3 linked regions of the Macaca mulatta genome follow. The protein of the gene in region 1 interacts with the protein of each later gene in a pairwise test. Links are inferred from orthologs where the notes say so. Each region holds a gene or a part of one and is shown in the gene's direction. Other genes may lie near its edges.

Region 1 (5,559 bases):
GCTGCTGGGCAGGGCCGATCTGCCCCAGGGGGGCGGCAGCTCCAGCTCTCCACCATTGAGGACAATCAGCCTTTTTCCCCTCTTGACCTCCTGCCCACTCAGCAAGGCGATAGAAGCACAAGTAATTATTAGGACTGATCCCCCTTTATTCTAGTTTAAGGAAGAAAAGGAGAAAGAGGTACAAGAAGCTACCCATGGAAGTGCTTTGAGGAAGTCATTTTGAGGAGTCTACAAATGACTAATCCTCCACACTGGTTAAGATAGAGGTCAAAGCAGAGCTGTGGTGGGAGCACTCATCTCTTAGGACAGCTAGGGAAGGCCACGTCTGCCTGTGTGGGGTGTGTCCCCAACTCTGGGGCTGACATGCTTTCCTCTCGTAGAATGTTCCAGAATTCCATGCATTTTAACACAGTTAAAACATTTTTACCTTAGGGCTTTTCTAGCATTTTTCATCACGCATAGGAAGAAATGTTTCCCATTCTGATTCAATACTCACATATGTGACTGAAGAAACAGTACTTACTGTAATTGTGTTCGATGCACTGAAATTTTCTACTTTATTCCCTTAAATTCAACACATACCTGTAGGCTGGTTGCAACCCATTAAAGTGGTTTTTATGATCCACTAGTGGGCTTTGAATCACAGTATGAAAAATTGTGTCTTCAATTTAAGGTATCAGCTAAGTTTTCCTAATGCACTCATCACAATCTGTTGTGGGAAATTAGTCTGCTGTTTTGAAAGAAGAGAAGAATTGTAAGACGAGAAGAAAGGTGAAGATGATGGGTTTTGCCCATTAGGGCTGTCGTGCTGTCCAGGGGTGAGGGGTGAGGGCAGTGAGTGTCCCAGGAGTGGAGGAGGCAGTGGCAAGGCAGCTGGGGGCAGGGCAGGTTATGCAAGCTGTGCTCCCTAAGACTGGACGGTCTTAAGAGTTCTAACGGGTCTTTGAATTCATTTAGTCTGACTTCCCACCCATTCAAGGAATGAAAAAGGTATTTTGTCTGCATTTATACTTTATTTTTTTCAGAGGCACAGGGATGCTCTAAAAACGGTTATTTCAGAAGGAAACCTTCTACTCTTCTCGTTATCTTTTGTGTCAGTGGTACTTCCGCATTTTTTGGTTTTGTTTGATTTTAGAGACAGGACCTCACTCTGTTGTACAGGCTAGAGTGCAGTGGAGCGATCACGGCTCCCTGCAGTCTGGAACTCTGGCTCAAGCCATCCTCCCACCTCAGCCTCTCCAGTAGCTGGGCCCATAGATGTGCACCACAGGTGGCTAATTTTTTTTTTTTTTTTTAATTTTTTGCAGACACAGGGTCTTGCTATGTTGCCTAGGCTGGTCTCAGACTCCTGGCCTCAAGCAATCCTCCCGCCTGGGCCTCTCAAAGCCTGGGATTCCAGGCGTGAGCCACCGTGCTGGCCCTGTGACGTTTTTATGGGTAAAATAGATCAGTTTAAGTAGTTCTCAACTTTAAGTAACTTCACAACTACAGGAGGCAGCTGCCAGCAACCTTATTTTTCTGATGGTAATTACAGTTTGTAAGCACTGTCCATGTGTCCCCTTGTATTTAACCGCCAGAGAAACTGCGTGGAAATCCCAGTAGACTAGGGAGTGGGTTGGTGCCCAAGTGCCCCGCGCCACTGAGCCTTGCTGTGTCTCCACAGGCCTTGGCAAGACGCGCAGGAAGACCAGCGCGCGGGACGCGTCCCCCACGCCCAGCACGGATGCTGAGTACCCCGCCAATGGCAGCAGCGCCGACCGCATCTACGACCTCAACATCCCGGCCTTTGTCAAGTTCGCCTATGTTGCCGAGCGGGAGGATGAGCTGTCCCTGGTGAAGGGGTCGCGTGTCACCGTCATGGAGAAGTGCAGCGACGGTTGGTGGCGGGGCAGCTACAACGGGCAGATCGGCTGGTTCCCCTCCAACTACGTCCTGGAGGAGGTGGACGAGGCAGCTGCGGAGTCCCCGAGCTTCCTGAGCCTGCGCAAGGGCGCCTCGCTGAGCAATGGCCAGGGCTCCCGCGTGCTGCACGTGGTCCAGACGCTGTACCCCTTCAGCTCAGTCACCGAGGAGGAGCTCAACTTCGAGAAGGGGGAGACCATGGAGGTGATCGAGAAGCCCGAGAACGACCCCGAGTGGTGGAAATGCAAAAATGCCCGGGGCCAGGTGGGCCTCGTCCCCAAAAACTACGTGGTGGTCCTCAGTGACGGGCCTGCCCTGCACCCTGCGCACGCCCCACAGATAAGCTACACCGGGCCCTCGTCCAGCGGGCGCTTCGCGGGCAGAGAGTGGTACTACGGGAACGTGACGCGGCACCAGGCCGAGTGTGCCCTCAACGAGCGGGGCGTGGAGGGCGACTTCCTCATTAGGGACAGCGAGTCCTCGGTAAGTGCGCTGCGCCCGCAGCTCTGGCTGGAGGCAGTAAATGCGCCTTGCACAGTGGCTCTGTGTGCCGCGCCCATTTCACATTGTGTGAGTACACTAGAAAGGCGGGAGATGCAGATGAATGCAATTTAGTGTAATGTTTGCTACTCCGTGATTTCCTTGCATCTGTTTTGGGGATCGTGGGTGTCCATTTCTGGAGGTGGGAGGTTAACTGAAAAAATGTTTGTAGCTGACAAAGGTGGTTCTGCTTCTCTCCGAAGATTCCCCCTCTTGTATTTTACAGACTCAAACGTCATTTTCTCTCCTGGTTGCCCATTGTGTGTACGTAGAAGGCCCGAGTGATTTACTTTGTTTCCACTCGGTCTGTTTCCCAGAGAAAGCAATCTTTGCAAGACTGGTGGCCGGTTTCTGACACCGCCTTTTGTTGTTTGCTTGCTTTCTCTTTGTAAACCGTATAATCCCAAGGTCATTGCCACGGCAGGCAGCGCCACTGAGTTCATCTCTGAAAAGCTTTTAAAGCACTTACGAGATGAATTGAAAAGAAAACAAGGGTTCTTGAGAGAGATGAGTTTTGTGTGTGTGCAGTGAGTGGGAGATATGAAGCCACTGGACTGGGGCAGCAGACCCACTTCCAGGGGTGGGCAGGCTGGGGGCAGTGAGTTTCAGACGTGGGGGTGGAGCCTGCATCCCAGAAGGCAGCCTTTTCGTGTGTGAAGGAAATATTCGACCAGTTTTGCAAACGTCTTTACAAATACACCTTCTACAATCGAGAGACTTCCAAAACAAGCATTTAGGAGTTTGATGTATTTGAATTGTATTGGTTCTAGTAGGCTTCAATTTCATTTTTAAATGCACACTGTAAGACTAGTAAGTATGTACTACCTGCTGCCCCTGCTGTCCTCTGAAAAGGTTACTGGCACAATAAATAAGTGCACATTCAGGAGTCCTGTTGACTGATCAGAGAGGCATTCAAAGCCCTCCAGAGAGAGGCAAGTGGGATCTTCTCCTCTTTGAGGAAGGAGCATCGTGGTGGTGGAAACTGGACTCCTTTGTGGTGTCATCAGTTTTGCGGAGCCTTAGATGTGCTTGGACGGGAATGCCAGCCTGAAAGCTAACTTCATCTGAAATCTGAACTCTGAGATTTTCTTATCAAGTCACCAGAGTTTATCATTCCTGGCAAGACATCACATTGAATTGTTCTCACATGACGAGAGCTCTGTGCACCATTTCCTTTAGATCGGGTTTGAAGCCTTAAGCAAATTAAGGACAGCAGCGCTTTTAACTCAATCGAGCAGAAACTTAGAGAAAGTGCTGGAAAACCAATTACAATATTAAGTGCTTGGTCCAGAGTCCTTAAGGGCTAAGTATAATGCACAAAATATGATCTTGGCTTAAAATGTTTGAGTTTGAAGAGACTTCTCAGAAGGAAGTCCTGCAGTGTGGAGACATTGCTCCCAGTCGTTCTTCTTTCTGCCTAAGATTTGGGGAGATGAAGAAAGACTTTAGAGAGTAGATGAAAAAGGTGTTCTCCAGGGTTGCTGGCCTTAGGGAGGACCTATGGCTTTTCTGTGGAACATGCACAGGTGGTCATTGTTGTCTGAATTCAGGGACCAGATCCCTTTGGATAAGGAGGGATGCATGCATTGGCTGGGTTTCATCTCAGAACTCTACACCCCACTGTCTCAGTTGCCTTGCATTGTTAGAGAATGAGCTAACTTTTTCAAAAGTACTAAAGCACTAATTGTTTGTATTTCCTTTTAACAATTTTTTAATTGGGGGCCTTTCAAGATGTTTTGCATTCTCTCCTAACTTAGAAAGTCAAGGAGCAACATGTATGATTCCAGGAATATAGGGTGGAAAGGGCTTTACTGGCACTTGCATCGGCTCTGCACACATAGCAGCACCGTCTTGGTCTGAGGCTCCACGTGGCCTGATGCTGTGCAGGGCAGCTTGTCCTGATGGATCTTGCCGTGACACAGGCCATTTTCAGCGCTTAGTGTGCATGCCTTGTGCCACGGGGATTCTACAAGAGCCCTGAGGTGTGTGGCTTCTTTTCTCCTGACCGCAGAACCGGGCCAGGTTTGCTGCGTTTCCTGTTCATGACCAAGGCTGTTCTCAGCTGTCATCTGTGACTGCCGGGGACCTGTCCTGGTGGACAAGTGGACAAGTCCTTTGCTTGTTTTTTTTTCCCCACCATCCGCTGCCTCCCCCCATCCCCATGTGTTTCCCTGCTCATTTTGCCATTTCTCAGGTTAGAGCTGGCTTTCACAGCCACCACCAGGCCACCAAGAGCCCTTAGGTTCATGTTCTGACATAATTCCTTCACAGCATGCCAGGATGGAAAGGTTTCTGAGGGGTTCAGCCTCCCTGCAGGACTCAGAGGCAGGCATCTTCATTTAATTTCCTTTTTTCTTGGAATCTTTGGGCCTGGACCTTTCATTGAGGTTACCACATGAAGCCTGGCTTCTGGATAAGCACAGCTGTTTCTTTTGGAATGGATCTTCAACATGCGTATCAGTTTTTAAAATACCCTGAGTGACTGCAGTGTAAATGAGCTAGACCCTTGCTTGATGATATTGAGAGGTGCTTATTTCAGGGAGGACAAACATTGCCACATCCTGCACTATCCACTATCAGTAAGTGCTGGGTATTTCAGAAGTATCTGTTGGATATGTTAGATGAATCAGTGAACTAACAAATGAACGAACCTGTTGGGCCCTCTTTCCTGTCCTGAACGTCAGTGCCTACTGCTTGTTCTTCCCTTTCTTCTTCCTCCCTCGCTCTCCTCTCTCATCTACAATTGTCGTTTATCCTTAGCAGCTAAAGGTGATATATTGTTGGTGCTTATTCTCCATATTTCATTATCATACCTTCAGCTGTGAGCTATACCTGCTTAAATCCAGAAAACTCAGAAATCCTACTCACCCTGTGTGTGTCCCTCATAAATCCTTTTATATTTTGTCCACATTGATGCTATGGATGTGGCTAGAAAGCTGTACTTAAAATGAACAGTAACCCTTTACTGGGTTTCTGGTAAACTGTACAAGTTGTCAGTATTTTATTAATTGCTGCATCCCCCATCCTTGTAAAAGTTGTTCAGAAAGTGACAGATCACAACTAGGATATGGTTGGAAAAGGTGCACAGCTGGCCTGGGTGACTTGCTGGACAGCATC
Region 2 (5,559 bases), about 50 Mb from region 1:
AATGTTGTACTTGACTAGTAAACTGTTGGTTAGTTATTCCATATATATATATATTTAATTTAGCTATCTCCCCATATATATTTAATTTAGCCATCTCCCCAAATGAAAGATTTTGTGAAGTCAAGCTGGCCCTTCTTTGCCAAAGTGGCATTTACCACTCTTGGGTTCTTTTCGGCAAGGGAAATAATGTGACTTAAGCAGGGCCCCTCTCCAGACGGCTTGGCTACTGGCCAGAGTTGACTAGCTGAACTGTATCTTTCTGTTTCTTTCTCAACTGGAGCTGAGTCTCAGCCGAGGGCGCAGGATGTTGTATAATTTGGTTCACGTTGTTAGCCTCTCAAAATAATGAGGAGGAGGATAGTGTAGCATTTCTCAGCCTGCTGCCTGTCATGGTGCTGGCTGCTTTAACTGTTCCTTAAACTAGGATGCTGTGTCTGCTTAAGTCGGCACCAGCCACTCCTCCTAACTTTTCCAGACTTGCATTTGTCTGACTGGGGGACAACTCCTAAAGATTGGATACAGCCTATCCATTAGATCTGAATGAAGTTTTTCTTTCAGATTTTTAAACATTCTTTGAGATAAAAATGGGCGTTCCCATGGGGTGTTGTGGAACCAAAATTGGGACTCACTGATCCTCCCACAGTCTGGGATGTGAGAATGTTGCTAGTCTTTTTTCCATGGAAGTATTTTATGAGTACCCTCTCATTTTAACAATATCAACAATTAGTGTGTTTCAGACTAAGACTGAAAGCATCTCTAGGGCCATATAACATTGTAGTGAGTTGACCTTCTCCCCTTTTTTTGAATCTCTATGAAATGTTTGCCTATTTAGAAAGTTCACCTGCCACCCAGGGGGGAATAGAAAGCTGGGATTTAGGAAGCCAAAAAGTTTCCTTGGGTCACCTTGTCCAAGTTTCTCACTTAACAAAGAGGAAACAGAGGCACATGGAGATGAGATGGCTTGCCCCAAATTACAGCTGATGGGACTGGAAAGTTTAGAAGACATTTGTTTAGGTGCCTAGAATGTAGGGACCTTCATTCTCAAGCCAGAACTGGCCAGGATTTTTCTGCTTTGGGGACTGGATATCAAATTCCTAGAACTGAGTTTAATGGCAGGAAGACTGATTGGACCAATATTTACTGGGTACCCATGCTCAGACGTGCCAGGCACAGGAGTAGGTCAGTGAGGGTTTAGGGCTTGGGGTTGAGGGGTGGGGGCAGGGAAGGCTGGAGGTGGAACATAAATAAGCAATTGCTGATGCCCGCCTCAGTGATTAAACATTGATGTTGGTGTTGTATTATTTTGCAGGTAAAGATGAGCCCAGCAGCTACACATGTACAACTTGCAAACAGCCATTCACCAGTGCATGGTTTCTCTTGCAACACGCACAGAACACTCATGGATTAAGAATCTACTTAGAAAGCGAACACGGAAGTCCCCTGACCCCGCGGGTTGGTATCCCTTCAGGACTAGGTGCAGAATGTCCTTCCCAGCCACCTCTCCATGGGATTCATATTGCAGACAATAACCCCTTTAACCTGCTAAGAATACCAGGATCAGTATCGAGAGAGGCTTCCGGCCTGGCAGAAGGGCGCTTTCCACCCACTCCCCCCCTGTTTAGTCCACCACCGAGACATCACTTGGACCCCCACCGCATAGAGCGCCTGGGGGCGGAAGAGATGGCCCTGGCCACCCATCACCCGAGTGCCTTTGACAGGGTGCTGCGGTTGAATCCAATGGCTATGGAGCCTCCCGCCATGGATTTCTCTAGGAGACTTAGAGAGCTGGCAGGGAACACGTCTAGCCCACCGCTGTCCCCAGGCCGGCCCAGCCCTATGCAAAGGTTACTGCAACCATTCCAGCCAGGTAGCAAGCCGCCCTTCCTGGCGACGCCCCCCCTCCCTCCTCTGCAATCCGCCCCTCCTCCCTCCCAGCCCCCGGTCAAGTCCAAGTCATGCGAGTTCTGCGGCAAGACGTTCAAATTTCAGAGCAACCTGGTGGTGCACCGGCGCAGCCACACGGGCGAGAAGCCCTACAAGTGCAACCTGTGCGACCACGCGTGCACCCAGGCCAGCAAGCTGAAGCGTCACATGAAGACGCACATGCACAAATCATCCCCCATGACGGTCAAGTCCGACGACGGTCTCTCTACCGCCAGCTCCCCGGAACCCGGCACCAGCGACCTGGTGGGCAGCGCCAGCAGCGCGCTCAAGTCCGTGGTGGCCAAGTTCAAGAGCGAGAACGACCCCAACCTGATCCCGGAGAACGGGGATGAGGAGGAAGAGGAGGACGACGAGGAAGAGGAAGAAGAGGAGGAAGAGGAGGAGGAGGAGCTGACGGAGAGCGAGAGGGTGGACTACGGCTTCGGGCTGAGCCTGGAGGCGGCGCGCCACCACGAGAACAGCTCGCGGGGCGCGGTGGTGGGCGTGGGCGACGAGAGCCGCGCCCTGCCCGACGTCATGCAGGGCATGGTGCTCAGCTCCATGCAGCACTTCAGCGAGGCCTTCCACCAGGTCCTGGGCGAGAAGCATAAGCGCGGCCACCTGGCCGAGGCCGAGGGCCACAGGGACACTTGCGACGAAGACTCGGTGGCCGGCGAGTCGGACCGCATAGACGATGGCACTGTTAACGGCCGTGGCTGCTCCCCGGGCGAGTCGGCCTCGGGGGGCCTGTCCAAAAAGCTGCTGCTGGGCAGCCCCAGCTCGCTGAGCCCCTTCTCTAAGCGCATCAAGCTCGAGAAGGAGTTCGATCTGCCCCCGGCAGCGATGCCCAACACGGAGAACGTGTACTCGCAGTGGCTCGCCGGCTACGCGGCCTCCAGGCAGCTCAAAGATCCCTTCCTTAGCTTCGGAGACTCCAGACAATCGCCTTTTGCCTCCTCGTCGGAGCACTCCTCGGAGAACGGGAGCTTGCGCTTCTCCACACCGCCCGGGGAGCTGGACGGAGGGATCTCGGGGCGCAGCGGCACGGGAAGTGGAGGGAGCACGCCCCATATTAGTGGTCCGGGCCCGGGCAGGCCCAGCTCAAAAGAGGGCAGACGCAGCGACACTTGTGAGTACTGTGGGAAAGTCTTCAAGAACTGTAGCAATCTCACTGTCCACAGGAGAAGCCACACGGGCGAAAGGCCTTATAAATGCGAGCTGTGCAACTATGCCTGTGCCCAGAGTAGCAAGCTCACCAGGCACATGAAAACGCATGGCCAGGTGGGGAAGGACGTTTACAAATGTGAAATTTGTAAGATGCCTTTTAGCGTGTACAGTACCCTGGAGAAACACATGAAAAAATGGCACAGTGATCGAGTGTTGAATAATGATATAAAAACTGAATAGAGGTATATTAATACCCCTCCCTCACTCCCACCTGACACCCCCTTTTTCACCACTCCCCTTCCCCATCGCCCTCCAGCCCCACTCCCTGTAGGATTTTTTTCTAGTCCCATGTGATTTAAACAAACAAACAAACAAACAGAAGTAATGAAGCTAAGAATATGAGAGTGCTTGTCACCAGCACACCTGTTTTTTTTTTTCTTTTTCTTTTTCTTTTTTCTTTTTCCTTTTTTTTTTTTTCCTTTATGTTCTCACCGTTTGAATGCATGATCTGTATGGGGCAATACTATTGCATTTTACGCAAACTTTGAGCCTTTCTCTTGTGCAATAATTTACATGTTGTGTATGTTTTTTTTTAAACTTAGACAGCATGTATGGTATGTTATGGCTATTTTAAATTGTCCCTAATTCGTTGCTGAGCAAACATGTTGCTGTTTCCAGTTCCGTTCTGAGAGAAAAAGAGAGAGAGAGAAAAAGACCATGCTGCATACATTCTGTAATACATATCATGTACAGTTTTATTTTATAACGTGAGGAGGAAAAACAGTCTTTGGATTAACCCTCTATAGACAGAATAGATAGCACGGAAAAAAAATCTCTATGAGCTAAATGTCTGTCTCTAAAGGGTTAAATGTATCAATTGGAGAGGAAGAAGAAAAGGCCTTGAATTGACAAACTAACAGAAAAACAGAACAAGTTTATTCTATCATTTGGTTTTAAAATATGAGTGCCTTGGATCTATTAAAACCACATTGATGGTTCTTTCTACTTGTTATAAACTTGTAGCTTAATTCAGCATTGGGTGAGGTAATAAACCTTAGGAACTAGCATATAATTCTATATTGTATTTCTCACAACAATGGCTACCTAAAAATATGACCCATTATGTCCTAGTTAATCATCATTTTTCCTTTAGTTTAATTTTATAAACAAAACTGATTATACCAGTATAAAAGCTACTTTGCTCCTGGTGAGAGCTTAAAAGAAATGGGCTGTTTTGCCCAAAGTTTTATTTTTTTTAAACAGTGATTAAATTGAATGTGTAATGTGCAAAAGCCCTGGAACGCAATTAAATACACTAGTAAGGAGTTCATTTTATGAAGATATTTGCTTTAATAATGTCTCTTTAAAAATTCTGGCACCAAAAGAAATAGATCCAGATCTACTTGGTTGTCAAGTGGACAATCAAATGATAAACTTTAAGACCTTGGATACCATATTGAAAGGAAGAGGCTGACAATAAGGTTTGACAGAGGGGAACAGAAGAAAATAATATGATTTATTAGCACAACGTGGTACTATTTGCCATTTAAAACTAGAACAGGTATATAAGCTAATATTGATACAATGATGATTAACTATGAATTCTTAAGACTTGCGTTTAAATGTGACATTCTTAAAAAAAGAAGAGAAAGAATTTTAAGAGTAGCAGTATATATGTCTGTGCTCCCTAAAAGTTGTACTTCATTTCTTTTCCATACACTGTGTGCTATTTGTGTTAACATGGAAGAGGATTCATTGTTTTTGTTTTTATTTTTTTAATTTTTTCTTTTTTATTAAGCTAGCATCTGCCCCAGTTGGTGTTCAAATAGCACTTGACTCTGCCTGTGATATCTGTATCTTTTCTCTAATCAGAGATACAGAGGTTGAGTATAAAATAAACCTGCTCAGATAGGACAATTAAGTGCACTGTACAATTTTCCCAGTTTACAGGTCTATACTTAAGGGAAAAGTTGCAAGAATGCTGAAAAAAAAATTGAACACAATCTCATTGAGGAGCATTTTTAAAAAACTAAAAAAAAAAAAAACTTTGCCAGCCATTTACTTGACTATTGAGCTTACTTACTTGGACGCAACATTGCAAGCGCTGTGAATGGAAACAGAATACACTTAACATAGAAATGAATGATTGCTTTCGCTTCTACAGTGCAAGGATTTTTTTGTACAAAACTTTTTTAAATATAAATGTTAAGAAAAAATTTTTTAAAAAAACACTTCATTATGTTTAGGGGGGAACTGCATTTTAGGGTTCCATTGTCTTGGTGGTGTTACAAGACTTGTTATCCATTTAAAAATGGTAGTGGAAATTCTATGCCTTGGATACACACCGCTCTTCAGGTTGTAAAAAAAAAAAACATACATTGGGGAAAGGTTTAAGATTATATAGTACTTAAATATAGGAAAATGCACACTCATGTTGATTCCTATGCTAAAATACATTTATGGTCTTTT
Region 3 (5,659 bases), on another chromosome or scaffold:
GCAAGCCGCGCACCACCTGCTTCAGCACCATGCCGCTCAGGTCGGCCGTGCTCTCCTGCGACGGGTTGAAGATGCGGACGAACTTCTCCCGGCAGCTCACGGCCACGATCTTCAGGCCTGTCGGGCTGGGACGAGAGGGCGCTGTGAGGAGATGCGGCCGGTCCAGCCGCACAGCTGCGCGCCCCGCCGGGAAACCAGCTCCAGCCCGGCGCGGGAGGCCTGGGTCAGTCCCCCTTACCTCTGCAGGTGTTCCGGGCTCCAATGGTCAGGGTCTGTGCAGGGTTGGGGCGCCAGGAGTGGCCCGCCGTGCCTGGGTGAGTGGATTTTCTGCAGATCTAGAGAGAGCAGCGCTTTTGGGGAGGGGACCCTGGAATGGAGTGCCTCACAGGGAAGTTCCCTGTGAGGCCAGAACAGGCCTGCAGCACCTGGGGGCGCGGGGAGCAGGGCCAGGGTCAGATGGGGCAGGAAAGGTGGTTGGACCTTGGGGGCTGGAGGACCTCCTTTAGGGCTCTGGGTGATATCACAGCTCTGAGGGGGCAAAGGATGGCTGAAGGGTACCGGGGGAGACCTGCCCCACTGCACCTTCCAGGTCCCTGCTGGAGCTCCTGGCCTGCACCAGCGCCTGCTTGGAGGAAGCGCGGTGGTCCCGGGGTGGGTGCCCTACCACCTGCACGAGGGAAGGCAGGCCCGGCCGGCAGCTGCTGGAGTCGGAGTCAACGCCCCCTGAGCTGCTGGTGTTCAGACAGGGCAGGCAGCCCCACTCCACGGTCTTGTGATGCCGCTCAGAGTGCTTTCCAGAGGACTCTGAGCTCCCTGTGTCCAGCTGTGGCCAGGGCCGGGGCTGCCTGTGGACCACACTCTGCTCGATGGCCAGTCCAGCTCCAGACCCCAGCCCTGCCCCCATCCAGCCCCACAAGACAGTGCAGCAGGGAGCCCCTCTTGCCTCCCAGGACCCAGGCCCAGATCATGGCAGGACAGTGACGGTCCCTCAACCCTAACGCATCCTACAGGTCAGAGAACTGAGCACTGGAAGGTTGAAGGGACTTATCCAGGGACACTAAGGGGTCCTTTAGTGTTCTGGGTCTTCACCTGCCAAGGTGAGCCCTCCCTTCTGGCCCCTGGGGAGTCCCTGCTCTGTGCAGTTACTTTTGCTTTGAGTTGGGCTCCAGGCTGATGAAGAGGTTGGGGTACCGGTGGGCAATGCTGTTCCAGTCCACGTCCTCCAGCCGAAAGCCCTGGCCAGGAAGCAACAGGCACGTGGTCCTCCCCTCCCGCAGGGCTCCAGGTCCCAGACCACACACGTGGGAGGCCCAGCTCACCTCCCCAGTGGGGGCCTGAATGTTTTCAGAGAGGTCACTTGGGTCCATCAGAGTCTCTGCCGTCACCACCTGCAAGAGGGGACCAGAGGCCAGTGGGCAGGGGCTGGGGTGAAGGGTACCCCTCCCCTACAGCACCTCTTCTCTTTGACCTCACCTGTGCTTTGAGGCCTCCTGATTCCTCCCTGCTGGAGCCCAGAGTTCCAGAGGCAGCCTGAGCAGGGCAGGCTTCCAGGCAGGCCAGGGCACCCCAGCAGAGGCACCCGATGAAAGGGGGAGGGCTGGGGAGGGCAGCCTGGGGCAGGAGGGCTTGGGGGACGGGCTCACCTCCACACTGCCAGTCTGGGATCGTAGCATGCGGCCCACCCACGAGGAGCGGGCCAGCTGCAGGAGGCAGGACTTCTGCAAGTTCTGTAGCTCGGCCTCCACCTCCTGCAGCGTGCGGGTGGTCTGCAACAGCCGCTCCTCCAGGTGCTCCTTCTCCTGCTCCGGGAGGGCCCGTGGGTGGTGGTGGGGGGGTCTTCTGCAGAAGGCCCCCAGGCCAGCCGCAGCCTGGCTCCCCAACACCAGGACCCTGCCCACTCCCTGTGCCCCCCGCCTCACCCACTGGGCTCGCTCTTTCTGTTCCTTCAACTCCAGGGTCAGCTTCTGGACCTGGTTCTGCAGGAACTTCTCCTGACTGTGGGAGCTCCTGGAGGAGGGGCGACCTCAGCAGCCCTCACCCCGCTCAGGCAGGGGGTTCCTAATGTCAGGTCAGGGGCTCCACTGCCACCTCGGCCCCAAGGGCACACAGTACAGCCCCACTGGGGCCGGCCAGCCTCTGGCTGGTCTGGGCAGGGGTCTAGCACCCATCCACATGTGCAGGGTTAGGGTTGAGGCTATAGCGTGTTAACTTAGGATCAGGGTGGAGGGTCAGCGTGGGTGAGGATGAGGGTAAGGATCTGACTCAGTGGTTGGGATTGGGGTCAGACAGAAACCAGGAGTCTGGGCGAGGACAGGGCAGGGTTGGGTTGGTTGGGGACTGTGCTGCAGACCTCTTGGGTGAAATCCCTGCCACTTCCTCCAGGATGTGGCAGAGCCGGGTGTCCTTGCCATTCTGGACGGCCCACCGCAAGGCCTGGATCTCCAGTTCTCGCTGCTTCCACAGCAGCCGCAGTGTGCGAGGGTCCAGGGACTCAAGAGCCAACCTGCAGCAGCAGCAACAGCAGCCCCTGCTGCTTACTCAGGCTGGGCCCCTGGCCACCTGGCCCAGGAGGCTCACCACTCCTCCCTCCCCTCCTTACTGCAGGTCAGCAGAGCAGGCCGCCCGTGTGGGGTGGGGCGTGGTGTCTGGCAGGCATGTGGGGGTCTCGGGGGCTGCAGGTGCGCCTGCTGGAGGTCCCAGGTGACCACTGACAGACTCTCGCTCTGTGGGGGACAGGAGAGCCTCTTCCTCGGCTTCTTCAACCCCCTGGCCAGACTTGGGGGCCATTCTCAATGTTCTTCAGGAGCGGAGGGGTGGGGGTCCCAAGCTGGCTATGTGTGCCTCATGTGGCCACACAGGTTGGAGCAGCCCAGGCGGCACCACTGCTCACAGAGCGTCGCTCTCTGAAGAGACTCACATGTGGATGTCCACACCCGTGTGTTTCTGACCAGGATGGGGCAGCAGGTCACCACCTGACATGTCCCTGGTATGTCCCCCTGCCACCCAGGTGCTGGCCCTTTGCCTGTGATGTGGTGTCCCTCTTTCTCTCTCTTGTACCCCCAGTTCAGGGCTCTACCCCCAGCACTCACCTGAGGCCAGACCTCCAAGCAGGCCTGGAGGGGAAGGGTTCTATACCGTTGCCATGGACACCAGCACCCAGAAAGGGAGGGGCTGTTTGTTACCAGGAGCCTCCAGGGAGACCCCAGACCAGGCCCCTGGGTGAGTTCTGGGCTGGGCCAGCCCAGCTTGGAGGTGTGAGAGGCTGAGCCACTGCTCAGCTTAGCGGGGGGACCACTTAGTGGCCAGCACCCTGAGGGAGGCCCCAGCATCCCCTACCTAGCCTGGCAGCACCTGCGGGATAAATATGGGGGCACTGCTGCCTGTGGGCCAGCCCAGCATAGCCATGGGTGTGTGGGGGAAGCAGACAGGTAACAGTGACAAGCTGGGGACTGTGCTGAACGCTAACTGGGAATAGTATGCCCCTGCCCACAGCCTCTTTTTAAATTAATAATTAATTTTTTAGAGACAGGGTCTTGCTCTGGTGCCCAGGCTGAGGTGCCTTGGTGTGATCACAGCTCACGGTAACCTCGAATTCCTGGGCTTAAGTGATCTTCCCACTTCCATCTCTTGAATTGCTGAGACTACAGGCACCTGCCTCCACCACCAGGCCCAGCCCACAGCTCCTTTGACCTCAGTGACAGGCCCTCACCTACCTGAACCCCCAAACTGAAGCCTCACCTTTCCCAGCCATCTCCACACACTCTGGGCTACCCTCAGGGGACCCTGTGGGCATTCTCATTACCATGGCACGTATTCCCTCTGCTCCAGGACAAAAACGAGGTCCCAGACCTGACCCACAAGACCCGAGCATTCCAGCCTTCACCCTCCACCTCGCCCTCACTCATTCACTCTTCACCTCTGCAACTTTCGACTATGTAAGGGCTCCCTAGCGGAGCACAGGAGACAGCCGGGCAGGAGACCCCTCCACGCCCATAACTCGTTCTGAGCTGGGCGGAACTGGCAATCAATGCTCCACAATGGCAATCAATGACCGCGAGGCTGCGGGGCCCTGGGCGGGACAGTAGGGTAGGGGGTGGAGGAGCGGCTTCCAGCCAGCTTCACTGTGCGTAAGGCCTGGCACTGGGTCCAAAAGCGGCAGGAAGGTGTAGGAGAAGAGCCTCAGCCAGAGTCCGGGCCTTCCCCTGAGCGGGCACCTTCCGCACCAGGGCTCGGCGCCCGCCAGCTCCGCAGAGTTCTACCTCCCTTGCCGCGACTGGTGATCCTGCGACCCCGCGACCCCTGCGCGTCCAGGCTACTGCCGCTGCGGTAGGCTCCAAAGGCTGGCCCGGGAAGCGAGGGGAGGGGCTGGCCCCTCTGCCCCTCAACGCAGGCGGGGGTTGCGGGATCCCAGGCCAGAGACCCTCCCTGGGCGGGAACCCGCCACACACTAGAAGGCTGCTGACGAAGTCGGCCCAGGAGCAGGGTCGGACACCTGTCTCGACGCGCAGCCCGCGGGTAGCAGCCGCCGCGTTTCCGCGTTGTTAGCCGGGTGGAGGTGGGGGCGGGGACCGCGGCTCGGCCCGTCCCTCCGACCCGCCCATACCTGGAGTCTCTGGGGGCGGGGCGCTGCGGCAGGCCAATGGATCGGGGAGGGGCGTGACAGAGACAGCCAATGGGCGCGGGGGAGGGGGCGGAACACCCGCGCTGAGCAGCCAATAGAGGCGCTGGGGGCGGGGCGTGCGGGCCGCGGGCCAATGGGGGCGCGGGTCCGGGGCGCGCCGCGGCGCTGGGGGCGGCAGGTTGCGGCGGCGCCTGAGCGGGTACAGAGGCTGGCGAGCGCCCAGGTGAGCCGCGCGGGGTCCCGGGGCCTCTCGAGTGCGGGGCGCTCCTCTAGCCGGCAGGGCGCCGACTCCAACTGGGGAGAGTTTTCCGCGATGCCGGGACGGAGGGCGGGGGCGGTGCCGCACCTGCGCCCTCCCTGCGGAGCGGGGACGCCCTGGCTCCCGCCAGGCTGGGGTCGCGGCGCGGGCATCCCTGCCTGCCGCGGGGACCGGGACCTTCGGGGCGAGTGCAGCGATTGGGCGGCAGCGGCGGGGCTCCCCGCGGTGGCTGGGGCTGTTCAGACCCCGAGTACGCCCGATCTGCAGGGTCGAGGTCTTGGTCGCGACCCCGAGCGCCTCTGCGGCCTGAGCAGGTCCGGGTGGGGCGTTCCCATGGCGGCGGCCGCGGGGCCTGGCGTGCGGGCGCCTCCGCGCCGCCCGGGGAGGGGGCAGTGCCCTCCGAGCCAGGTGAGGCGGGCAGGAAATCCTGGATCTGGTTAATGATTCTCCTTGTTCCGGGAGTGCGGGCGTGGCAAGAGTAGGCTGGTGAAGTGGGGGAGGATGCGTGCTCCGGAGGGCCGCCACCCTAGGAATGTGTGGCCGGCGGGTGGGGCTGGCACAGGAGGGTTGGGCCCATGCTGAGGGGTCGCAGCCCAGCCGTTTCTAGGGCAGTCCAGGAGAAGGAAGAGAGGAGGACCAGGCTTTGATAGGGGTAGGTAGGTCCTGACCCTGTGGCCTGCACCCTCCCCACAGAACAGGGATGTTGTTGGGGCTGGCGGCCATGGAGCTGAAGGTGTGGGTGGATGGCATCCAGCGTGTGGTCTGTGGGGTCTCGGAGC

Evidence for each region.
Region 2: the proteins of NCK2 (region 1) and BCL11A interact in binary tests that used the Homo sapiens proteins (3 or more experiments, as listed by UniProt). The two-hybrid records come from large-scale screens. The link is inferred for Macaca mulatta from reciprocal best matches to the Homo sapiens genes NCK2 and BCL11A.
Region 3: the proteins of NCK2 (region 1) and RASSF7 interact in binary tests that used the Homo sapiens proteins (3 or more experiments, as listed by UniProt). The two-hybrid records come from large-scale screens. The link is inferred for Macaca mulatta from reciprocal best matches to the Homo sapiens genes NCK2 and RASSF7.

The regions. Positions count from the first base shown.
Region 1 is NC_133418.1:13,978,043-13,983,601, forward strand, and holds part of NCK2 (cytoplasmic protein NCK2), read left to right. Parts: intron 1-1,663; coding exon 1,664-2,385; intron 2,386-5,559. UniProt on the Homo sapiens protein: Adapter protein which associates with tyrosine-phosphorylated growth factor receptors or their cellular substrates. Maintains low levels of EIF2S1 phosphorylation by promoting its dephosphorylation by PP1.
Region 2 is NC_133418.1:64,330,109-64,335,667, forward strand, and holds part of BCL11A (BCL11 transcription factor A), read left to right. Parts: intron 1-1,309; coding exon 1,310-3,330; 3' UTR 3,331-3,332; intron 3,333-5,559. UniProt on the Homo sapiens protein: Transcription factor. Associated with the BAF SWI/SNF chromatin remodeling complex. Binds to the 5'-TGACCA-3' sequence motif in regulatory regions of target genes, including a distal promoter of the HBG1 hemoglobin subunit gamma-1 gene.
Region 3 is NC_133419.1:446,397-452,055, forward strand, and holds the start of RASSF7 (ras association domain-containing protein 7), read left to right. Parts: upstream 1-2,792; coding exon 2,793-3,219; intron 3,220-4,226; coding exon 4,227-4,326; intron 4,327-4,797; exon of another isoform or gene 4,798-5,288; intron 5,289-5,573; coding exon 5,574-5,659. Other genes in the region: LMNTD2 (lamin tail domain-containing protein 2), read right to left, coding at 1-125, 239-335, 583-845, 1,147-1,235, 1,320-1,388, 1,644-2,007, 2,351-2,527, 2,600-2,787. UniProt on the Homo sapiens protein: Negatively regulates stress-induced JNK activation and apoptosis by promoting MAP2K7 phosphorylation and inhibiting its ability to activate JNK.